Linked DNA regions of Notamacropus eugenii. The protein of the gene in region 2 interacts with the protein of the main gene of each other region in a pairwise test. Links are inferred from orthologs where the notes say so. Each region holds a gene or a part of one and is shown on either strand. Other genes may lie near its edges. The genes, in order: CXCL16 and TMEM239.

Region 1 (12,303 bases), on a different chromosome or scaffold from region 2:
CACCATTCCTTTCCTCTGCTCTAACAAAACTGGCCTATTAATGGATCTTTGAATATGTCTTCTGTCTTTGTTCAAATAATTCATCCTAAAATGTTCCTGTACCTGCTCTCTATGCCCTCTCAAAAGTCCTTCTCAAGTCATGTGTGGAGCCTTTCACAACTGGCCTCATCTGTGCTACATTGACTACCTTTACCATTTGGCACTTGGCTAATCTTTGTATTTTTAAGTAGATTTTTTAGGGATATCTTCTGTTTGCTCAGATAGTAAGCCTCTCAAAATCAAATACTGTCTTGTGGCTTCTTTAAGTTCTCAGGGGTCCAAATGGTGCTCTGCATACAGTAGGCACTCAGCATGTGGTGATTGTAGTGCCACTCAAGATAAAGCCATAAATTCAAGTGAGAAGACCATAGTCACAGACCTAACTCTGCCACTAACCAGCTTAGGTGCTCCTTCATCAGTAAGGATGATCTCAATTGAGTCTTAAAACTCTGTTTCCTCTTCTGTAAAGTGATTGGATAGGAGACTGTGGTATAATGGATAGAGCACTGTACTCTGAGTCAGAAAATCTGGCTTCAGCTCCTGATTCTGCCACTTAGATTATAGGATTTTGATTTGGAAGGGTCTTTAAACCCTTTGCTGTACAGACGAGAATAAGACCCAGAAAGAGAAAATTATTTCATAGCATTATATGAGCTAGAAGGGACATTAGAGGTCGTCTAATCCAAGGCCCTTATTTTACAGATGAGGAAATGGAGATCTAAAGTCATATAATGGCAGAGTCAGGATTTGAACCCAGATCCTCCAACTCTAAATGCAGTGCTTTTTATAGTATACTAGGCACCCTCTGAGAAGGATCAGGGGCTGAAAAGGGAGCTGAATCTAGAAGGGCAGATTCGCTTGGTCCTTGATGCAACTGAGATTTATGGGACCAAAACACATGGATCCCATGTTTACCTTTGGGGTTCCTCTTTGGAGGTTCTTGTTTCCGACACCAGACATAAGCAAGAACTCCAGTAAGACCAAAGACAATCCCAAGTAGGCACAAAATAGGTATGGTGGCAGAGGTACCCATCTGGTCCATTTGTCCCTTTTTGGCTTCCCCCTTCATGTTTGCCATGCTGCTGTTCTCCAGAGGAGCACTGGTGGTGTCATTGAGATATCTATTCCCCATTTCTCTAGACTGGGTATTTGTTGACTGGTTGGTCTGGGAGGATGGTTCGGTGGTGGTGAATGGGAGTAATCGGTTTAGTCCTGTCAGGCTTTGGATCGTGGTAGTAAGGTAATTATCCTGGGTGCCCTGATATCCAGATTTGTATGTCTTGGCGATTCCACATTCTGGGAAAACAAGATGAGAGAAATCTGACGAGCTGGAGAGAAACATGAAGAAATAGGGAATTAAAGTGAAAGATCTAGTAGAGAGAGAGGGGTGGGTAAGAGAGTTAAGTAGAAGACTTAAAAGAGGGGATAGATGTAAAGAATATAACTACTTAATCCAATCTTGCCAACCATCTTTTTCCTCCCCAATCAACAAGCATTTATTAAGAGTTTACTATGTAAGGAGCTGTGCTAAGCTTGGAGATACAATAAAAAGCAAAAACTTATACTAAAAGAGCTAATATTATTTTTTCCCCCAGTTTTTTAAAAAATAAATGTTATTGCTATCTTTTGTTTTTTACATTCTCAGAATTTCTCCCAGTATTTCCCCTCTCCCTCCTAGAGAGCTGTTCCACATAAGAAATAACATTTTTTTTTTAAGATAAAGAAGAGGAAAAAAATCAGCAAACCAAACTAGGCTAAAAATATATACTATATTTTACATCTGTGGATCTTCCACATCTGCAGAGGAATAGGAGTACGTCATGTCTTTTCTTTGGAGCCATTTGCAACAATCCCTTTTGATTTTTTTTTGGTGATTCCTTTCATTTGCATCGTCGTAATCATTATATATTATATATCGATTTTTTATTTTACTTCACTCTTCATCGAATCATGTAAATCTTTCCATGTCGCCCACAATCTCTTAACTGCTAAATCTAAGGGCTTTTTTTTTAGTCCTTATCCTTCCTGACCTATTCAACATTTGGCACTGTTGGAATCACTGATAGTACCCTCTTCTCCCTGGGTTTTTATGCTTTCCTTATTCTCCTGTGACTAGGTGATTGTGCCTCATTTTCCTTTGTTGGATCATCATCTATGTCCCTTCTCCTTTGCCTTGATGTACCCCTATGGCTCTGTCCTCTTCCCTCTTCTTTTTCTCTGTCTCTCTTACTTTAATCTAATCAGCTACCATAGGATAATTTATTATCTCTGTTCAGATGATTTCCAGATCTGTTAAACCAGCCCTCACCTCTTTTTTGAACTCCAAACTTTTATCTCAGTCCTCAGTCAGTAGTTTTTTTCATTTGTGTCCAATTCTTTGTTATCCTATTTGAGGTCTTCTTGGCAGAAGTACTGAAGTAGTTTGCCATTGCCATCTCCAGCTCCAGAAGAGGAAACTGAGGCAAATGGGGTAAAGTGATTTGCCCAGGGTCATACAGCTAGTAAGTGCCTTGAGGCTGGATTTGAACTCAGGAAGAGAAGTCTTCCTGAATCCAGGCCTGGCACTCTACCTGCAGTGCCTCTTAGCTGCCCATATCTCTGCCTAACTTCCTTCAAAAACCACCTCAGTTGCCCACTTTCCTGATCAGCCCAGTTGTTAGTGCCTTCTCCCCTAAAATTTTTTTATATTCCGAATATTGTTTCCACCAGTAGAATGTAAGTCCAAGGACTGTTTCATTTTTTGTCTCCTCAATCATAGCGCCTGGTACATGGTAGGGTTTCAGTAAATGCTTGTTGAATTGCTCAGCAAATGTTTATTAAATTTAACTGATAAGAGGAGAGAATGGAAGGAAGATAAATAGCTTGGGAGGAGGCAGAAAGGAAGACACAGGAAAGGGGAAGCTGAGGGAATAGTTAACTGATGGGAAGAAAAGAAAGAACTGAGGTCAAGAGGTGATGGAACTCTTTGAAAATTAGAATACATAATAAAGAAAAAGCTGAAGAGAAATAATGTTAATAATGGGAAAAGGGGGGAAGATGGACTCTCACCATGGTTGTCGAAACAAGTCCTTAGCCTCTGGCCCCAGGTGTTTTTGAAGCTTGAACACAGAGTTTTTCTGGGCAGGTGGAACCTGGTTAGGAATTGCAGAAGGTGTACTGCCTCAGTTCCCAATTCTGAAGTTTCACTTTTCCCCTTTTTACACTGCTAGAAATCTAGCTCAGTTGACCCTTCCTCATTACTTTTTTTTTTTTTTAAGAAAAATTTTTATTTCCTGAAATCACTGTGGAAACTTAAAGTTTTTGCTAGTTACATAGAGGTGAAAGGACTTTAATATAGGGGAAAGAAATATCAATATGGTCACAAAACACATTGAGAAATGATCAACTTGATTATTTTCTGACATCTTAAAAATTCAACTGTATATATAATATGGCTCAATTTTTCTAGATCTGAAAAAATAGATATTTATAACTGTTTTCATTTTTACATTTATTTTTTCACTTTCAGTTCCAAATTACCTTCCTCATTCCTAAGCAATGAAACAGCTTGGAATTCCCCAGCTACTGGGCAAGGTAAACTTTACCTAGACAGGGGCAGGGCAGAGTTTAAGAGAGCCTAAGCCCTGGGGACTATGGATTCCTGGAAATAAATACACAGCCAGGAAAGGTGTGTTGGAAGCAAGCAAGCAGTTGGGGATGGGGAGGAAAGTGGGGGATAGGGTGGGTCCTACCTTATATATTTGTGGCAACTTTCATATCCCTGTAGATTAGTAGTGAGTAATTGCCACAGTGCAGGACTCGGGGAATCAGGTAGCTTCGAGTCACAAGGGCAGCTTCCTGCAATGCTGCCCTGATTTCCAATAACTAAAGGAGAGAGAGAATAGTAACGACGCAGGTACGTGACAGTCACTTCTCCAGCTCCTTCCACAGGGACCACAACCAGCCACATCCCAGTGTATCCATCCCCAGAATTCAAGTATCCTGCTAATCAACACCAGTAACCTGGAAGAACACCGAAGCTGAGGATATTCCCCTCTCCCAACACACACACACTCTCACACACACACACTCTCACATTCTCTCTCTCACTCACACACACACATTCACATTCTCACTCTCGCTCACACTCACACTCACATTCTCACACACACTCGCATTCTCAGTCACTCACACACACATTCTCACACACACTCACACACTCACACACTCACACACTCTCACACTCACTCTCTCTCTCTCTCTCTCTCTCTCTCTCTCTCTCTCTCTCTCTCTCTCTCTCTCCCTCCCTCTCCCCCTCCCCCTCCCTCCCTCCCTCCCTCTCTCTCTCTCTCTCTCTCTCTTTCTCTCTCTTTCTCTCTCTTTTCCCGGCCCCGCCCTAGTCCTAGCACCATACACTACTTTTTGCCTCCGCACCAGCCACAATAGGTATGCTAATTCCTGCTCCTCTGCCTATAGGAGCTCGGTAGGTCGCCCCCTCATGAGCCCTTCCCCTTGGACTTCAAAATGTCCAACTTGGGGTCCGACCCCAAATTACGAGGGCACTTCAATCTCCCGGCAATTCCTCCTTTCCCTCTCGTTCCCACTTCGTTTTTCAATCCATGAACTCTACGTCCCCGAAATGGACCCGAGCCATTCGCCATCCCCTCAAACCTCCTTGGATCAGCTTCAGAAACAAGACCAACGAAACTGTGCAGAATCCGCTCATGCTCCGGTGCCCAGCTACGGCTACCTCAGAGCTACCAGGCATGAGCTCTGGCTTCCCAAACGACTGGGCTAGTACTGAAGGGTGTGGAACCAATAGGTTATCTCTCACTGGTCCCCGCTTCCGGAAACGTTCAGTGACTGGCTCTCCAGAGGAAAAGTTCAGAGAAAAAAAGCTCTGACTTAAAAGTCGCCTGTATTTCAGTAAGGCTGGGGTATTGAATCCTTTTTGGTTTCAGTAGAAGGTGGGGAAAAAAAGTGACGATATCTGCCTCCCAAACTAGGAAGAGGATGGCGTGGGAGGGCAGGAAATACCACAAGGCAGACAGATTTTGAGAAGCAAAGGAAACACAAACATCCAGGGACAGGCAAAGAAATGGAAATCGACTCCGATGGAGCCGAAACTTGGTGTTGCACAGCCCGGAAAATTCCCACTGTTTTCCCCAAGTTTGTGACTGGAGTGCCTGGAAAGATGGCTAGGGCAGGGAGTAGGGGCATCGAAGGGGTGCCACAAGGAGTCTGGGATTCTTTGCAGACAGAGCCTGGTGACCCAAGGTACTTTCACTTCCCCTTTTTTCTGTGGTAGGCGCCAGTAAACAAGCGCTCACAAGACTGGGGAGAAGAAATACAGATTCAGAATTTAGCTGCTTCCCTGAGAGAAGAGACAACTACGAAGGAACTTTGAAGTGTCCCCTTACATTTCTCAGCTAGGCAAAGACGGTTAAAGATGGAAATAGTGTGAAAGGGTTGCTATACTGCAAGTTAGTTGCTTCATCTGGGAATTAGCTTATTAGTCATTCTGGAAAACAATTCGGAATCACATGAGAGGTCACTGAACTCAGTATATATGCCCTCTGACCCAGCGACTCCACTACTAGTCAAAGACCGAAAGAGTCCATATGTATCAATATTCATAACAGCCCCCCTTGTGGTAGCAAAAACTTGTAAACAAAGTAGGTGTTCATTGATTAGGGGAATATTTGTAAAGGTGGTATATGAATATAAAAGTATTGTGCCTTGAGTAAGGATAAATATGAGATCCTCAGAAATTTGGGGAGACATGTATGAACCCGCAGATAAAAAGAAAGCAGACCCCAAACAATAATATATGCAGTGATTGCTAATGATCAAATGTCAATATTATTAAAGGCCGATATTAGTTACAGATAACGAATGACGGAACACTCTACTTTCCTCTTGGTAGAGGATTGGAGGGCTGTAAGTGCAGAATGTTACAAACTCAATCAAAGTTATGGGATCAAACGCTTTTGGTTGACTGTTGGGTGGTTTGGTTCTTTTTTGCAATGTTAAGAAGGGATAGTGCAAGGGGAAAAGGGAGGCTACTGTTATGTATTGTGTAGAAAATAGTGCGTTCATAAGACATTTTTAAAAATGAAAAAAGAAGCAAAGGTACTTGAGTGTTGGCGCACGAAGATTCCGGACTCGGCTGTAGCGGGAGTCTAGCCTCTGAATGGGGGTGGGGCGTTCTGCGCGAGAGTGCCAGGTCTAGGTTGTGGGGGTGGGGGGGGGGAGGTGATGTCACAGCCCTCCCCCACGCTGCCACAGTATTTACCTTCGAACAGAGACGGCCGCTGCAGGTAAGGGAGACAGGGTGGAGGAGAAATTGAAATGGAAAGATAGAGCCCCTCAAGCATATACATACCCATCCAACCCAAATCTGACCTAGACCATGGGCAACCTGGCCCTTTTCCTTTTATTTTCTGATTTTAAGCCGTTATGAAATTCACCTTTCTTTACTGGTGATGTCCCAGTTTTCCTCCCACAAACAAAAAAACTCAACCCCAACTGAAATAATCTCCATCCCAGATTCACTTTCTGGTTTTGACTCAATCCCTGTTAACCTCTATCTCCAGCTCCTATTCCCTATTCTCAACAGCTAATATTCCCTTATTTACAGCCTCCACGCCCAACTCTGAATGGTAACCCATTTAGTCTAACGCTAAACCATAGCCCTCCTTCCTTAACTCCTCCTTCTGCCCTTGCCTCTTCAGCCACTATCCACAAGACCCTATCCATGGCCTTCTTCCCTATCCACTCTTTAGTTTTAACCCTAAAGAGCCCAACTCAGCCCTAAATCATAGTCCTCACTTCCTTATCTTCACCCCATCCTTTCCTGCCCTAACTCCAGTCCCTCACATGAGGTTCCTGTGCTCCTTTCCTTTCTCTGTGACTCAACTCCTTTGCTCGCCTAGAAATCATGGAGTTTGTATCTGGTTATCGGGATGAGTTCCTCGACTTTGCTGCCCTTCTATTTGTCTGGTTCCGCAAGTTTGCCTCAGAGCGTGGAACTGGGGTGGGTGGGGGGCATGGGCCTGAGGGTCGATCAAGGTTGATGGAAGCCCAGGTGAGACGGTTGCCCTCAGACCCTGCCCTCTGGGTCCTTCACATCTTGCCCAACCGTAGTGTGGGTATCAGCCTGGGGCAAGGTGCTAAGCAGGGACCTGGACCAGGCCTGGGTGCTGCCCGTCTTTTGGGAGATGAGCCCCCTCTCTGCCTCAGAGACCTCAGTCCCTATGTTAGCTTTGTTAGCCTTGAAGATGGAGAGGAAGAAGAAGATGGGGAGGAGGAAGGTGCAGGTGGAGAAGAAGGTGAACTGGAGGAGGAAGGAGAGCAGGCCACCACCAGCCGGGAGCCTACCCAGGATGCTGAGACACCTAGGGAACTGGAAGATGCTGAGGAAGAGGCAGGAGAGGACAGCAGCGGAGGGGACACCAGAGAGGATGGAGGAGAGGAGGAAATGGGGCCAGAGAAGAGAAAGGGAAAGAGAGGTGGTGAGAGACCCAAATACCACCTCACTTCCAGTTTTGATCCAACTATTCACTTTCCACCAAGAGTGGCTCTTTTCCTATCTTTGCTCTATTCTGCTTGGAGAGAGAAATATTCACATTGACATAGTTCTCTTATGCCCTTGGACATTTCTCTCCAATAGAAGATATTTTGAAGTAACACTTATGTGAATCCTGAATGAGGAGCATTTTACAATATGAAAAAAATGTAGTTAAATTTAAAATGGGTTAACATTTCATATCAACAAATAGAAAAATAGTTACTTAATCTTTCAGGAAAGTTCTTGGAGAATTGAAACAATCACTTTCCTCAAGATCTCTCCCCCCTGCTTGTCCCAGGTTACCTAAAGCAAACAAAAAAGATCTCTTCCTTGGATAGATTCCCTTATCGCTTTTGGGATAATGGACACCAAGAGTAGTGTCCTTAAGTGGGGCATTACTCTGATCTCTTCAGGGGATGGGGAGGAAGCAATGTTCTTTACTAGATCTGAGATATTTTTCCTAAAAATGGTGACCATCCTTAACCCATTTTCTGGGACCTTTAGCTTTCTTTCTCTATCCTTTTCACATTTTCCTAAAAGAAAAAGATTGGGCTTAAGAGAAAGGGGAGAAAGGTTTTTAGCGGAGGTCATTATTTCCTGAGGAGTTTAAGTAGTGATAAAATTTTCTTCCTTGTGGTAAATCTGAAAAGGACTAGCCTGGAGAAAAATGTATTTCTTAATATTTCCAGTTGAATTCAAAGAGATTTAAATGTGCAAGATGTGTGGGGTAGGGGATGAGTATGGACAATCCCACTCCCAACTCCACTGAATTTACCCTATATATGGGAAAACTCTTCTCAGGCTCCCCCTCTTCCCTGAACCCCTACCCCTACCTCTATCTGCTCTACCTTTCCTTGAACCTCAACTCTCCTTCCCTTTCATCTGACTTCTCCCCTCTTTTCTCAGATGCTGCCCCCCTACACCTGGCCTGCCTACTTCTGGTGACCGATGAACATGGCACTATCCTGGGCATTGACCTCCTCATGGGTGGACCCCAAGGGAGTGGAGGCAGAGTCACTGGGGCTGAGGGCCTGGCCCAAAGAGCTTATACTCTCCTCTGCCACAGTATGGCCTGCCCCATGGGAGCTGGAGACCCTAGAAGACCTCGACAGCTCACAGTGGGAGACCCCCAGCTACATCGGTACAGAGATGTGGGTCCCAAAAGGGTGTGGAAAATGGCAGAGGAAGGAGAAAGGGGAAACATGGGGTCCTAAATGCATTGGTTTCAGAAGGGTATGGAGGGTGTGTATACCTGTGTCCCTAAGGAATATAGGGACTGAAAAGGGAGCTTGGGACCTGGATGCTGCATGCCTCAGCTCCTGATGGGGGGAGGGCTGGGGCCTCATGCTGAAGTTCATCTTCCTATCTATCCAGGGAACTAGAAAGCTTGGTCCCAAGGCTTGGGGTGAAGCTAGCCAAAGCCCCAATGAGGACGTGGGGCCCCCGTCCTGGCTTCACTTTTGCCTCTCTCCGTGCCCGTGCCTGCCATGTGTGTCACAGACACAGTTTTGAAGTGAAGCTGATGCCCTGGTGAGCAGATGTCATGAGTAGGAGTTAGACACTGAAGGTGGAGAGGGACAGGTATGTTAGGCTATCTGTCTTGTCCTTCCCCATAACTCTTCTACCCTTGGTCCTATTTCCTCCAGCCCCCAGTGTGGTGCAGTCCTGTACTGTGGGGAAACCTGTGTCTGGGCTGACTGGCGACGCAGGCCAGATGATGTGAGCCATCGATTCTGGTGCCCAAGACTTGCAGCTTTCATGGGGCGGGCTGGGGAGCTGGCAGCCTTGCCCTTCACCTACACTGCTGGTACCAGAAATACCTGAGCCCCTGAGGGGCCTGGGGGACCAAGAACTAGGCCTTTAGAGAGTATGGAAAGGACCAAGGAACTGGGAAAGGAAAAAGATGCTGGGCCCCTAAAATAAAATGATGGAGGGTTGGTGGGGAGAAAAAGGGGATACTCTGAGGCTGGAGGCCAGAAGAGGGGTGTCTTGGGTGGGCACTCAGGTACAAAACACTAGCATCTGGGTTAGTGTGTCAAAATTGGGACCTGGGACTTCCTGGGACCAGGAAGACAAATATCTGGACCCTGACCTCCATCTCTGCTCCTCCAGAGGTAACAAGCGAGATGTTTAACAAGGAGGCATTCCTGGCCTCCCGAGGCCTTACACGAGGGTACTGGACTCAACTCAGCATGCTCCTCCCAGGTCCTGTTGCCCCAGGATACCCCCCAGGCAATGGGCCTCCCCTCAGCCTCCTCCTCAGTGGTTAGTAGGGCATCCTGGGAGGCTTGGGGGGGGGGAGTGTTGTGTCCCATTCTTTCCTATCACCTCCTCCCAGCCTTGCTTCTAGTTATCCTGTTCCAAAGGCTATAGGGGATACAACCACAGAAATGTGGGAGGGGATTACAGGGAGGTGATGGAGGCAGAGCCAGAGGATGTCCTACATAACAGGCAACAAGCATTTATTAAGTTCTTACTAAGTGCCAGGCATTGTACTAAGGCTGGGAATACAAATCAGAGCCAAAAGAAAGACTATTCCCTGCCCTCAAGGAGCTGACATTTTAATGGGGGTGGGGTAGATCACACACCAAAGGGGAAGGGAGAGGAGTTCCAAGAAAATGTCTTAGCTTCCCTCCAAATCCACTTGAAGCACATATATGTACACAAACAAGGGCCACCTCAAGGCCATTCTGTCCCCAGGTATCTCTACAAGCCAGCACCTTCTCCCCCTTAGTCACTTCCTCCCCTATGCCCCTTTCCCACCTCCTGGTTCCTATTCACATGCCTCGAAGTGTAATTTCAGATCAGCTCCTCTGTGATGATGATTCATCAGAGTCCCTCTCCCTCCTCTCAGATCTAGAGACACCAGCCTAGAGTTCCCCTGCCTCCAAGGGATAAGGAGGGCGAGGCTAATAGGGATCCCTCCTTCATTCCTACCTACCTCTTCTCTCAGGAGATCCTTATCAGTTACTTCAGGGAGATGGACCCCCCTTGATGCCTCCAGTGCCTCCTGATCCACCTCGAGGCCCTTTTGGTAAGGAGAATTAAATACCTTCACCTCTGAAAGGAGGAAGGAAGATGGAGAAGACAGGAGCCAGAGGTCTTGCTGTCTGAGTCCCTAAGAACAATGAGTACTCTAGTGGGGAGGAGTGTGTAGAAAGGGAACAAGCCTTCATCTACCTATCCATTCACTCCTCCTCATCTCCCCACCACCACCAGGTTCCTGGCAAGATTACTATGCATGGCGTGGCTTGGGCCTGGACTCTCCCTTGGCTGTTCTCCTTACCTACCCACTGACTGTTTACTATGTTATAACCCATCTGGTGCCCCAATCTTGTAAGAAAGGAACAGAAAAGATGGGTGGAGTTGGGAGGGACTACAGGTGGGGGAAACAGTGGAGAGGGCTGGGGTCAGACTGAGGTAAGAAAAGGTAGGGAACCAGAGGGCTGAAAAGTGGGACAGGGTTAAGGGATTATCGGTTTAATAAATTGTCCCTCCCTTTCTCCCCTTCCACATATACCCCTAGTCCCAGAGCTGAACATCCAGAACAAACAGTCCTTGAAAATCCATGTGGTAGAGGCTGGGAAGGAGTTTGATCTCATCATGGTGTTTTGGGTGAGACCCAAGAAGAAAGTGGATGGGGTGGATGGGACTAGGTGGGACTAGGCAGATGGCTGTCCCTGAAGAGGGAGGTTCTGGGAGGCTGAATGATTGGAGTCTTTGTTGAGAGTAAGCTAAAAAAAAAAAAGACACCTGGGGGTCTTGGAAAAGGGGTAGGAATATTTGACCATTATCCCTTAGGATCAAGAAGGGAAGTTGAGGAGGCAGATACCTAGGGCATTCAGAAGGAACTGAACTGGATGGAGGTGGGGAGAGGACAAGGGTGTTGTGGTGGTTGGGGGAGGGGCAGTCAGCTGTGACATTCCCCATTCTTCTACCTAGGAGCTCTCTGTTCTACTTCCTCATGTGGCCCTGGAGCTGCAGTTTGTAGGTGGTGCTTTGCCTCCTGAGAATGACCAGCAACATTTTACCCTTCAGAGGGTATGATGGTCCTGGGGGGAGAGAGTTACCCTGATCAAGAGGATCAGACACAGTCCAGATATAGCCTCTGCCCCACCACAGCCACAGAAAAGCCTGTGCTCTTCTTTCCCGTAACTAATCTTTTCTCTCACTTTCATTTCTTCCTCTCTTAATCCATATCCAAAAATCCTTGCCCCAAGCTCTCCCTCATCTCCTTCCATCAGGATGGGTCAGGAGTATCTGTCCGTCCAGGATCTGGGGTATCTGTGCGTCCAGGCTCAGGAGCTAAAGAGAAGGGAAGCCGTAGGGATCTTCAGATCAAGGTTTCTGCCCGGCCCTACCACTTACTTCAGGGACCCAAGCCTGACCTGGTGATTGGTGAGAGGCCCAAATGAGTGTGTATGTGTGTGTGTGTATATGTGTGTGTGTGTGTGTGTGTGTGTGTGTGTGTGTGTGTGTGTGTGTGTGTGTGTGTGTGTGTGTGAGAGAGAGAGAGAGAGAGAGAGAGAGAGAGAGAGAGAGAGAGAGAGAGAGAGAAAGAGTGTAGGGGAGAAGGGAGCTAGAGTACTCTCTTGACTCTCTCTCTTCTGCCTCCTCCTCAGGATTTAACTCTGGCTTTGGTCTCAAGGACACCTGGTTGAGTTCTCTACCTCGATTACAGGTATGGGGAGTGGAAAGGAAAGGAGGGGGAGAGG
Region 2 (12,840 bases):
GCTCCTATTCTGTCTCTGAGATCACTGACTCATCTCAAAGCTCTTAAAGACCATGGAGAAATGCCTTCTTGATTGAAACACATGACTTCTGTAGTGGTCTAGAGCAGTTGTCTACAAAGTGGGAGACCATGGCATGACTCCAAAGGATGTCAATATCCATTAACCAATGGGTAAGAAGATGGATTGCATCTCATCTTCCCTTCCGGTTTGTCATGGGCTTGTCTCCAACATAACTATAACAACCCTGTCACTCATCTCAATGTCTTTCCTTATTTGTTCCTCCAGGGCTTCCTAGGCTGTGTGGCTGGACTCCTCCTAGGGAAGTTATAGCCTAACAGAGACCCAAATGCCCACAGCTGCTATAAAAGCAAAATTCCCCATGCCCTCCCTCCCCAAACAAGATTCCGATCCATGATCACATGAGCTTGCAGATCACTGGCCTGGAGGACTTGACTGACAAAAACCACAAAGACCTTTCGGAAGTGGCTTTAGACAGATTGTTTCTTGACTCAGTGTATCTCCACTCAAGGGCACAGACCTGGCCAATTCCTAGGAATATTCTTGTTCCTTCAGGTACCCTACCTGCACTTTAAATTTTTGGAATTACTTTGTGTTTACATCCTCTTTCTGGTCCATATATGGCCCAATGATGGTGGCATGTCCTGGGCAGAGCTAAGAGTTACAACATCACAAGAGGTACTTAAGAGCATGCTTTGCAACTTAATTAAGCTCTAATATTTGAGAGTTCTAGAGATAGACTGAGGTGTTTGTAGTATTCTCCAATAACTTTGATCAGTAACTGTGTTGATTGTGGATGCCTGCCTTGGCTCAAACCCAAATTAGGACACCAAGTAAGTCCTCAAGGGCCAATAAGCATCCTGCTCTATGGGACCATTTATTTCTATATTCACTGACCCCAAACTTTATTATGGATTCTAAGAATTTGTCAAACAGAGAAGTGGGACTTACTCCTCTTGGTTCTCACATGGCCAAGGCCAACACCACACATACTGGCCTTGGAGTAATCATGACCTTGAAATTACCAAGAGAATGTAAGGCACTAGGGGAAAATGCCTAGGGAGTCTCCCTTCCTTTTCATTCGTGGGGGAGTACCTCTTAGAGCTGCCTTTTTTAATCAGTTCTCTGGGGGAACTTGGTGAAATCTGGTACATCCAGCCATTCTGCTATGTATCTTTCCCTCCTTGCACTCCTCCTTACTGCCCCTCTCCCAGCTCAGGTTCATCTCTTTTCATCTTTTCTTTATCTTTGCTTCTGATTCCTCCATCTCCCCAGCAACCAACAGGAGAGCTGAGCTCAGATTTAAGCTTACATTGGAGTTGGTGTTGGGAACATGAGGGCAAAAGCTGGAGTTCATATGGGATTGAAGACCATCGGCAAGAATCCTGAAACATGTCATGGAAAGAAGAGCCATGGGGAGGAAATACAAAAATACAGAGGTCAGAGTAACCTCAACTTGGAGGCTGATAAAAGGAAGCAGGAGAACATGCTTCCACTTGGTTCTTCCAGTTCCTTAAATTTGGCCCTTCATAACCATTCCCATTGTATGTAAACCCTCACACCTGGCTTCTCATAACTACCCCACCCCCCATATATCCCCATACACTATCTTACTCAGGCCATCATACTTGGAGTCATACCCATTTCTCATACTGGCCTATTATGCACAACTCCTCACGCTCAAGTCTGGAGTGTTAGGTTCTGGACGGGACTCTGGATTGGGCCCTGAAGTTGTTGCATCCATTTATATCCACTTACTCTCACTCTAAATGGGAAAGTCCAGTGTACAAGGATATGGTGGGCCACAGTTCTGTCCAGATTTCTTAGAGCCCCATCCTTCTTGTAGCCTTTACTTCCCTCACCTTTGCCTCTGGGAAGAAGAGGATGCCTTGACAGAAATAACTTTTCTCCCATCTAACCCAAAGCCCAGCTGGCCCCTCCAGAGCCTCATCAGAGGCTTCTGAGAGTAGCTCAGGTGGGAGGCCACAGACCAAAGGGTGGGAATCTCTGAGTTGAATTGAGATAAGCTGAGACCATGTGGAAGGGAAAAGGTCATTGTGTCATACAATTAAGGGTTGGAAGGGACCTTAGAGATCACCTAGGCCAGCCTTCTTATTTTACTGATAAGGTATCCAGGGCCCAGGGAGGTAAAGTCACACAGGTAAGGAACAGAGGGTTTAAACCCAGGTGTTCTGACTCCAAATTCAGGACTCTGGACTCCTGAGTCCAGTGAAAGTGATATGGGGTTATTGGATGAAAATCTAGGGAAGTCAGGACTTCTAAGACTCAAAAGACCAGGAAGTCAGGATAGGTCCTAGGCTTAGAGACTGGACAGGGTGGGGATTCCTGGGTTTGATTGGGCCAGAGTAGGCAGGAAGCTGAAGGAAAGGGAGCAACAGGGGAGTTCTGAATCCAACCTAGACAGAGCAGACAGTCAGGCCAGGGCGGTGGCAGGGGGGCAAAGCCCGTCCCGTGTATTGGGTAGGGTTGAGGACGGGTTCAAGGCCAAGGCTGGATTGGGGGCAGTGTTAGGGGGCAGATGGTGATCCCTTATCTTAGATGGATCTGGGGCCAGGGTCGAGGCTGCCATTGAGGCTGATGACAGGTCCAGGCCGGGACATGCCAGTCAGTAGCCCCAGCAGGCTGAGTAGGGTGGAGAGGAGCAGTAGGAAGGAAGCAGCAAAGAGCAGGGCTGGCAGGGCACTCAAGGCCATGAGCAGCAGGGCTGGCAGTAGATGCTTCCAGATCGTGGCCACCACGGGCCAGAGCGAGCGTAGTAGGTGGCATCCTGTGGTGAAGAGGGCGTGGCACAGACCCAGGGACAGCAGCAGGTAGAGGCTGGATTCAAGCAACCACAGGACCCGCTGCAAAGGCACCCACCAGCAGGATGATGAACACCAAGATGGCAAACGTCGGCGAATTCCACCTGGGCCCTCCCACCACTGATCCCAAATTCGCCAAAGAGCCCAGCTTCGCCAGTTATTCCTCAAGCCTTCTCCCGCCCCCGCCTGGTCCGTTGACCCCTCGGTTCTGGCCCGCTGCATCGATCCGGTGCACCTGCGGGGGAGTGGTAATGGGAAGGGCTGTGACCCCCAAGCACCTAGTGAGGAAGACCGGCGTTCGGAAGGCATCTATGCGAAGCAGATTCCCAAAGATCAGGGAACTGAATGAAAGCAAGAGGGGCAGGTTATGAGGCCAAGGTACCTGGGGAGGATCTCAAAGCACCTACCGGAAGGGAATGGTAAAGAAAGAGGCATGTCTGAAAGAACTTGAGGGAGAGCTGAGTGACAGCTGAGTCTCTAAATTTGAGCGGGCTTGATTCTAAAGCCTTCGGGGAATAAGGGACTGGAAGGGGTTGATTCTAAGCCATAAGGAATGATCCTAAAGCACCCTCTAGGGAGAGGTTTATGGTCCCAAAGTATCCAGGGAGTGACAGGAAGTGATCCCAAAGTAGTGAGGTTCAGGAAGAAGGAGAAGAGAGAGAAAGGAGAAGATAGGAAAGGGAAAGGGGAAAGAACTTTCTGGTAATGAAATGCCCTGGGGGGAATCTTGCTTTCTTGGAGGAGTAGGAGGGAGGAGAAGTTTCATTAGTTTCTTGGACACACCAGGGTAGAGGAGGCTGAGGGAGCTGGGACCTCTTGGGGCAGAGCTGCTAGTGGCCAAGCCCAGGTGTGAAGAAAAGGTCATGATTTGGCCCCTGGCTGGAAGCTTGGAAAAAGGGCCTGTACATGACCTGGTCTCAGGATCCTCACCTGGAAACAGTTGGCATTAGAGGTCAGGGAATGAGAAATCCCCAGGTCTTTCTTGGAACCTTACTTGTCTCCAACCACCCAGCCCTAAGTTCAAGATCTCTAACTTGGGGACCTTTAGAAACATTTGGTCAGTGGAGAGACTTGGAGGCAAATCTAAAGTGTAATCTGTAGTGTTGTGAGTGTGTGTGTGTGTCTGTGTGTACAGAGGAGGATCAGAGAGCTTAGGGAGAATCAAGCAAGAGGAAAGGAGGGAAAAGTAAAAGCTTTGGGGCTCCAGGGCAAAGGTTCCCTGGTTCTTCCTCTGAGGCAGGAGTCAATGAAGCCTGAGAAACCAAGGCTGAAGGCTGAGATTTTTCATCTTTTGTAGACTTCTAACCTAGAGCAACCACCCTACATCCCTGTTGCTGCTGGGGTTAGTTGAGAGTTCAGAAGTTTTCCTCCAATGTCCCATCAGGGAGGTGAACCAGGACTCTGGAAGACTAGAGAAGAAGAAAGCAAACCCTCTCTAGCAAACCGTGGAGAGGCTCATCACCTGAGAAGGTTGGCCAGGGCTTGAATGTTTGGGAACACAGCAGTCTAAAGGGACTGTCTATTAAGGTCTGGGTTGCAGTCTGTATCAGCTATATCAGCAGAGAAAGTAGCTACAGATCCTTAAAGTATTGGCAGAAACTTGGAACCAGGCCCCAGATGACTGGGAAAGCAGATGAAAGAAAAGGATTTCACAGACAGAGGCTAGGGAGAGGTAGCAAGTGTAGACTGGATGTAATGTCTAGCCATTGCCTTTACCTCTCAATATAGGTTTGCTCTGATACTTCTTTCCTTGATGACTTGTCAGACTCTGATTGGGCTTTGTTCCTTGAAAGGCCAAAATGTAGGGAAAACCCAAGGACTCAGGATAAACCACCCACTAGCTGTTCCTCCAGGGATCGTGGGGTTTTGGGTTCCTAGAAACTGATTAAACTACTCTAAGAAAGCAGCATTTCATTACAGAAGTTGAGACAGAAGAGAATAAGGAAGGAGACAAGGGAAGAGATGGGAGGTAGGAGAGTGCACCAAAGAAGGGACCAAAGACATAGAAAGGAAAGGGAGGAGTCAGGAGGGTTGAGAACTAGGGAAGTGGGTCCAGGAGAGGATAGCAGAGATGGGTATCAGGGGAGTGAACAAGAGAGGGGAGAAGAAAGGAAACCACCAAGAGAAAAGAAGTGTAAACCTGACAGATAGAAGATGGGGTTGGGAAGGGGACAGAATCATAGGATATAAGAGTGAGAAGGGGCTTTGGGGGTGTCTCTTCCAACCTGTACTGAACAATATTCTCTCTACAACATGGCTGACAAGTGGCCATCCATTCAACCTTTGCGTGAAGACTTCAGATTAGAACTCACCATCACATCTGGATAGCCCTGATTTTAAGAAGCCTTTCTTTATGATAGGCATGCATGGATGACTTGTGATCCATACACATGGATGAGAATGGATCCTAATGGGGTCCCAACATGGGACAATCCACATTGATGAGGATGGATTCAATGGAACGTTAGCTATCTAGCCGTTACTCCCCTGTCCTATACTAAAGAAACTGATGTGTCGAACCTAATGTGTAGAACTTTATGTTTATTCTTATTAAATTCCGTGTGCTTAGATCTGGGCCCACACTTAGGACTGCCTAGAGTCCTGTGTGTCCTGACCTTCTCACCCAAGGTTAGCTATCTCTCTGAGCTTCACACATCATCAGATTTGATAAAAATGTTAAATAGCACAGATCCCTGGGGCACTTGGCTGGAGATAGAAACCCAAGTCCACAAGGACTGCTGAATGACCAAAGGTTCCCCCTGCCGAATCCACCAGTTTTATCACCTAGCAGCTTCTTTCTGTGTTGGCCCCAGGGGTCCCATAAGAGACTGTCAAATACTTTGCTGGAGTCTAAATATATCTGTATACTTACAGCATTCCTCTCGTCTAGACGGGAAGGGACAATGGCAAAACAAGGCAAGGGACAGGAAGACACAAGACAGAGGACAAGGGAGGAGGCAGAAAAGAGAAAAGGAGAAAAGAGTGAAGAGAGAGGAGAGGGGATAGACCATAGAGGGAATGGAAAGGGAGAAATACACCAGAGCCATTGTGGGGCTAGGCTTACCTCCCAGCACAGCAGCCTTGGTCATGTCGCCACCGCCAGCTCCCTATACAGAGCTGGGAAGGAATCCTTGCAACCTGGCTCCCGGCCTCCCCATCTCCACCCTACCCCTGGGGCCTCATTGTGACCCGGGCTTTGGGGGAGGGGTAGGACAGTGCCAAAGAGAACCCAGCCCATTGGACTCCGGAGTCCAGGCTCTAGGCCTTGTCTTTTTTCTCTTTCCTTATTTAGGGTCCAGGAACCAACATTCTTTGGCAAAACAAAACAAAGTATCTTTAAAAAAAAAAAAAAGAGTTTGAGTCTTTTGCCCACCAAAGGCACAAACTGTCAGGAACCTCCAGACAGAAGGGGTTTTCTGAGCCAAGATCTAGCTTTAGTTTCTCCCTTAGTAAAATGAAAGGTTTGGACTAGATGAATATGCTCCTTACTTGCTCTGTGATTTTGTGTTCTCCAAGGAAAAGAATTTCGCCTCCTCTTCCCTGTCTCCCCTACTCCCTGGTTTCTAAATGCCTCCTGGCTGAAAAGCCTGCCCAAGGTCTGACCTACATCCTTCTTGATATAGTCAGCAGGCTGAACCTGAACCTGCCATAGAATTCTCTTTCCACACCCTCCCTCCTCAGAGATCATAAACCAAGGCCGGCGCTGTCTCAGGCCTCTGCATCTCCCTGTTCTCCCTAACCTCCTATTCTTCTGCTAGGATTTAAGTTATTGGGGGCTATACCTTCTGCCCCATGACCCATGACCCCAAACTCTTAGACCCTTAAAATTCATGGAATTTTGCTACTTTTTCCCTGTGTCCTGGTGAATAGACCTCTTTGCCTTCCTGGGTCTTTCTTTGCTCCCTTACAAAATGAGAGGATTGAATCAAATGATCTCTAAAGGCCCTTTTGAGCTACAGATTCTAAGATTCTGATTGTGTGGCTGAAAGGATCAGATAGGCTCCTTACAGCACTATTGGTGTTAGACACTTATCTAAGGGTCCAAGGTTTAGGCTACTGAGTAGAATAGGGTCTACTCTGACTTAAGAGTCTTCTATATTGGTTTTTCAAACCCTGGGACCTGGAATAATTTAGGGTCTTCTTTCCAGACCACTCATCCTAGCCTAGAGACAACCAGAAAGGAAATTCAGAGGCAGAGGCTGGGGCAATCCTCATGTATTTTCTGTGAAGAGAATCTTTTAGCCTGCTGATTCCTGGAGAGCGGAGGCTTTGCTTCAGGCCAGAGCCTTTAGGCTGACTACAAGGCTGAAGATACTGATGGGCATCAGGGCCCCAAAAATAAGCCCTAGAAGGGTGAAGAGCAGGAATCCATCCAGGACTTGGCTCAAGGCAGGTGGGAGCAGTGGTTCTTGCAAGCTGGAGCCTTCGCCCCCTGCTCCTGGGCCAAGGGGTCTAAACATTGGTCTTTGAGGCAAAGGCAACTCCGGAGTCCTACAAGGAAAGGAGAACCTAAGGTGAGACTTAGGCCAAAGAGACCCTCTCTGGGGCAGAGAGACCCAGGAATCCAGTGTGCTTACCCATGCATTAGGTCAAAAGTCAGGAAACTCATCATTAGTAACAGCAGCAGGAAAGCTATGCCTGGTCCAGCCAGGGCCAGGACAAGGCGAGCACCAAGTCCAAGTATACCGGCGCCCAGGGCCCCATCCAAGAGTGTGAGTGAACTCCTCAAAGGCATACCATGGCCCTCCAAAAGCTCAGGACCCTCGCCAGCTTCTAGGCCCCGGCCCATTCGATCTGTAATGACAGGGATCCTGGGGAAATAGAAATAAGAGATAGGGATGGGTAAGGCAAGATGAACACAAAAGAATTCCTTTTTATTTTTTTAAAGATGTTAGGAAGTTGAAAATTCAGGAGCAAAGAACTAGGGAAAATTCTGAGGTGAACAAGTCAGACATTCATAGAAAGAAAGAGGCAATAACAGACAACAGAGGAGAAGAAGAACTCCTCAGTTCTTATTTTGCTTCTTTTGTTCCTATCAGGAAGCCATGATCTTTGGAATGGAACAGGCCAAAATGAGGGAATAGGGATAGGAATGCAGACGAAGAGAAAGAGAAGTGGAGGAGAGAGAAAACAGGAAACAAATCAATCTAACAGAAAAATACTGATAGAGCACCCACTATATACAAAGTGCTGCATGAAGCACTGGTGATAAGACATGTGCCCTGCCCTCAGGAAGCATATAATCTTTTCTAAAAATTATTTTTAACATTTATTTAAAAATAATTGTAGTTTCAAATTCTCTCCCTCTCTCTTGTTTCTTCTCCACCCATTAAGAAGGCAAGCAATATGGCATCAATTATACATGTGAAATCGCGCCAAATCTGTTTCCATATTAACCATGTTGAAAAAAAGAAAAGCAAGAAACACAAAGAAAGTGAAAAAAAGTATGTTTCAGTCTGCACTTGGAATTCATCAGATCTCTCTCTGGGAGTGGAGAACATTTTTCATCATGGGTCCAAGAAGATAACAATCTAATGGGGAGATAGGAAATATATACAAGTAACCATGGTCTAAAGGAGGAGTAGATAAGACCTAAGAGGTCCAGGCAAAGTGACACGAGAAATTTGATGAGGAAGAAATCATTTTCCTAGGGATGAGGGAGAAGAGATTAGGTAGGCCCCATGAGTTGGGTCTTGCAGGAAGGAAATAGAACTGGGGCAAGGGGGTGTAAGTTGGAGGGAACAGCTACTATAGCCAAAGACGTTTCTCCCTTAGGATTCAATGAGGTGAATTTTCTAGGTCCGTATGGAGGATTTGTGGACAAGAGCTTGACTTCTCCTGATAGGCCACCATCATGCCTTTCCACGCATTTTCTGACACTGCTTGGATAACAATGGTGCACTTAGAGAGGAATGAGCTGGGGCAGGGTTTGAGGAAAACGTTAGAGTTAAGGTTGAGTTTGATTTGCTACAAGAACAACTTTGTGGAAGATGTCCAACAGGAAGAGATATGTAACTAGGGCAGGGTGACTGAAGTTCTGCTCCAGGGTGCCAATATTTAGAGGGCACTGACAGCGTTTATATTCATTCAGGAGCATAGAAACAATGGTACTTAGTATCTTGTTAGTAAGAATCATGATTTAAAATAGTAAGTTACCAGGTGGTCCCTTTCTCCAGTTTACTAGGTCTTATTGTATCTCAGATGAGCCTTCCCTTCAGGCAGTGGTCTCCTCAGCAACAACTTCTTAGTATCCTAGATCTGTCACCTGATAACCAAATTTGTCTTAGAAAGTTTATTTGATACTATTTCATAACACTTTCTCAAGGCAAAAATTGCTAGTAATGTCTCTGCCAGCGGGACTAGAGCTCAAGGGAGCTCTCAAGGATGACTATAGATATGGGTATCATCTGCACAAATGCATGTTATCTATGAAGAGATGACAATAATGGAGCCAGAGAAGTAGATGAAAATGTCTAGGAAGAGACAGAGAAAGAAGAGGGCTAAGGGGATCCCCGGATCCTGGGGAAGACTTGAGTGTAAGAGGAGAAAGGAAGATGTAGAGCCAGTGAGTGGCTCATTTCCCAAAATGTGTTCTTTAGAATTGAATCTAATACTCCAGATATGATCATGGGCAAGGGCATTGTCAGGAAGGGCTTTTGCCTCCCATGTTCTAGATAGTAAGCCTCTATTTATGAAGCCAGAGACAAGGGAATGATCAGAGGGAAAGGAGAAAAGACAGGAGAAAGCAGCAACACGGAAAAGAAGGGAGAAAAGGGTATCTGGAAGGAGGGGGATAGATAATAATGTAAAATGTGGCTGAGAAGCCTGAGGGGATCATGCAGATATTGTAGAGATAGAAATAGTGACTTGAGGAAGAGAAATGGATGAGGGGGAAATTAAGGCAGAGATGGGAAGATCATAGATTCATAGTTAGAAGGAACCTTAAAGGTTATGGAGTGTAATCTCTTATTTTATAGATGAGGAAAATGAAGCATAATGATTTGCCCAAAGTCATACAACTAGTAAATGTTTGAGGCAGGATTTGAATCAGGTCCTTTTGAAGCTTAAGTCCAGGGTCTTGCCCATTATAGTAGGCTGCCTCAGAGATGAGAAGATAATAAAAGAAATGATTCTGGGGGGGACAGATGAGAAAGGAATTATGGAGACGGTTGGAGAAGAGACAGATAGACAAATGAGACTGAGGAGGCAGGGGTAGAGAGGTGGAGATGGAGGAGACAGGGTTAGGAGACAGGAATAGAGGCACAGGGATGAGGGAGAGAGAAATGGGAAATTGGCGACCCAAGAAAGAGTTAAGAGACCTTGTGGGGAGCATTTCTGGGGAGAGTCAGGGATAGAAGGAGTTTGGAATATAGGAGGAAATAGGATGTCCTGAAGGAGCTAACCAGAGATGAGGAGATAAGAACCCTGGGGAGGAAGTGGGGGACAGAAGTGTCATTGTCAAAACCCAGTTAAGGTAGGACCTAAAGTTATGAGGAAGAGGACAATGAACTCAAGACAGCTGGGGCCTGGTTTGCCGGCAGCCCTAGAGACATCAGATGAGCTCCTTGCCAAGTACAGAGAGCAAAGAGCGTTCTGGGCCAGTTCTGATGGAACATGGTCATTACTATGGAGTCCTGTGTTCCTTTTCTCCCTCCCCAACCTCCCCACTCCTCACCTCCTCCCTATCGGGCCTGCCATTCTGGGGACATAAACTGCTAGGGGAGAGGGAAGGCATTATGACCTGTGGAGTAGGGGCTACTGCAGAGGTCATCTTCCCCCCAACCCCGCCCCATATACACATAATAGCTGTGACCAAACTCTCTTTGGACTAGCTTGGTCTGCAATGATGCCCAACCCTGGGTAGTGGGAGAGAGGGGGAAGTATAGAGAAAGATTTCCCTGATCCCTTTTGCTCCATTTGTAACCATTGGTTCTAAGGACCATTGCATGGGACTCATTGCTCACCTGAATAAGGGGTGGAATTGAGAGCTGGAGAGAAGAGAGAACCTAGTCTTCTAGCTTCTAGCTTCAAAGGAGAAAACTCTTATGTCAAACTCTCTTCAGGTCTCTGAAGGAGGAAAGACTGTAGGAGGAAGTCAACATTAGAGGAGTTGACCCTTAGATCATGTCCCTATTCCCAGCTTACTATACTGGAAACTTCAGGGAATTTTCCCTTGGCTGAGATCTGGCCCTTTTCTCTCTTCATTGAGCTGAGTGATCTCCCTCCCAAAAGGAGAACTCATTTGCTCTGGATTGTCTGGTATACATTGTCCTTTGTGTACTTTCTCTGATTTCTATTTTGCTATCCACTTGGATCAATGGGTTTATTTGCTGTTTGCTATGAGAATTCATTGTGGAACTGATATTTATCAGCAAGTCTTGGATAAGTAGCTTGGGGTACTCTGTTCACATTAAGGTATAGTGATTAGGAGTGCAGCTTGAACTTAAAAATTATTTTCCCTAGACTAAAAATATTTAAGGGAGAAGATAGATATAATTTTTGCATGATTAACCCCTTCTCTGAGGAGATAAGAGGTGATGTTCGTAATCCTTCATTTCATGACACCACTACAGGGGATGGCTCTCTAGGAGGGGATAGGGATGAGATATAATTGGAAAATATAACTAATGAAAAGCCAAAGGTATCAAAAAAAAAAAATCCTAGGGCCTTTATCAAACACTAGGACCACTATAAGCCTCAGACTCTCAGAACTGGAAAGGACCTCCAGGTCCATCTCACTCTACCTGTGCCCAGACAATTCCCTCCACTCTGAGTCAGACATTTGGTCATCTGGTCTTTACTTGAAGGCTAAGGAAGAACTCACCTCTGGAGACAATCCATCCCACTCTGATGGAGTTGTAATTATTCAGAGTGCTCTGGCTCTGTACTCACACAGATCCTGGATTCAATGTGGGGCTTGCTTAACTGCAAAGTCAGGAGATCAAGTTTCTTTTGATGTCTTTGGATTGTAGAATAAGACTATGGGGAAAAAAATCTTCAACACAAAGGCTAGGTATGTCTCATGTCTCAGATCTCTACAAAAGGGATTAATAGAAGCCTCTCTCAGAAAATGTACATTGATGTTCCCTCCCCAAATTGATGAACAGTCTCTCTTTTCAGAAAAGATACACAATGTTCAAAACAGATATAAGCTATAGGAAGCTATTTATTTCCTCCACCACAAAAGAAATGCTTTAACTACACATATACACAAATACACAAAGTATGCATTAACTTAAAACACTAAACAAGAAAGACCTGTTAACATCATGACATTCTCCTAAAAGGTAAAGACAACATTGCGAGACTGCTAAAAAAGATTATTTCACTTTCACCTCAGGCCTGCACTGTCTAGATAACTCATAAGATTCAGATCTCCCAGCCAGTTTGAGCTTGCCTTGAACTTTGACAAACTTTCCAGTTGCAGCATCCTCTTGTTTGGTGGCCATCTCCTCCTCTAAAAGCTATGCAGTTACAAGAACTGTGGTGACCAGCTAGCATCAATTCAGTGGCACAGATGCTCTTGAATTCACAAAATAGTCATCAAGGTTGAAAATGTCCTTTTTTCACAGGTTTGTTGTTTCTGGATACAGATTTCTTTTCAGAGAAGAAACACAGAGACAGAGGAAACCAGCCAGGAACTTGGGTTCACCTAGGTAAGCACAAGTTGTTCACTGTGTGGCTATGGCTACAATTGCCACTGGATAGAAGAAAGAAATTCTCTGCTTCCTGATTACTGGAAATCCTAAAAAGAGAAATACAGGAAGTCACACAGGAGCTAACTAAAAAGAAGATAGGAACCTTTCTCCAACTCTTGTAACCTGCTGGAGTGGGATAGAGATCAAGGGTTCCATTAACTCTGACAGCAGTTATCTTTGATGTAACCCCAGTCATAAAGATTAAGGGACCAGTCAGGAGTTGTTGGGTCATATTTATCCTTGAGGGAAAATCCTCACAGAAAGAGGCCAGAGCACATGCCCAGCTCTGTGGAAAGTACTAC

What was found.
Region 1: the proteins of TMEM239 (region 2) and CXCL16 interact in a two-hybrid assay, tested with the Homo sapiens proteins (2 studies listed by BioGRID). The two-hybrid records come from large-scale screens. The link is inferred for Notamacropus eugenii from reciprocal best matches to the Homo sapiens genes TMEM239 and CXCL16.

The regions. Positions count from the first base shown.
Region 1 is NC_092873.1:79,118,998-79,131,300, forward strand, and holds CXCL16 (C-X-C motif chemokine 16), read right to left. Parts: upstream 4,943-12,303; 5' UTR 4,787-4,942; coding exon 4,690-4,786; intron 3,904-4,689; coding exon 3,771-3,903; intron 3,171-3,770; coding exon 3,088-3,170; intron 1,336-3,087; coding exon 824-1,335; 3' UTR 60-823; downstream 1-59. Other genes in the region: ZMYND15 (zinc finger MYND domain-containing protein 15), read left to right, coding at 6,959-7,532, 8,495-8,729, 8,963-9,118, 9,235-9,395, 9,701-9,853, 10,542-10,622, 10,808-10,924, 11,115-11,203 and 3 more. UniProt on the Homo sapiens protein: Acts as a scavenger receptor on macrophages, which specifically binds to OxLDL (oxidized low density lipoprotein), suggesting that it may be involved in pathophysiology such as atherogenesis. Induces a strong chemotactic response. Induces calcium mobilization.
Region 2 is NC_092877.1:46,437,251-46,450,090, forward strand, and holds TMEM239 (transmembrane protein 239), read right to left. Parts: upstream 6,017-12,840; 5' UTR 5,905-6,016; intron 3,076-5,904; 5' UTR 3,063-3,075; coding exon 2,574-3,062; 3' UTR 2,464-2,573; downstream 1-2,463. Other genes in the region: C6H20orf141 (uncharacterized protein C20orf141 homolog), read right to left, coding at 7,115-7,331, 7,418-7,651, 10,516-10,538.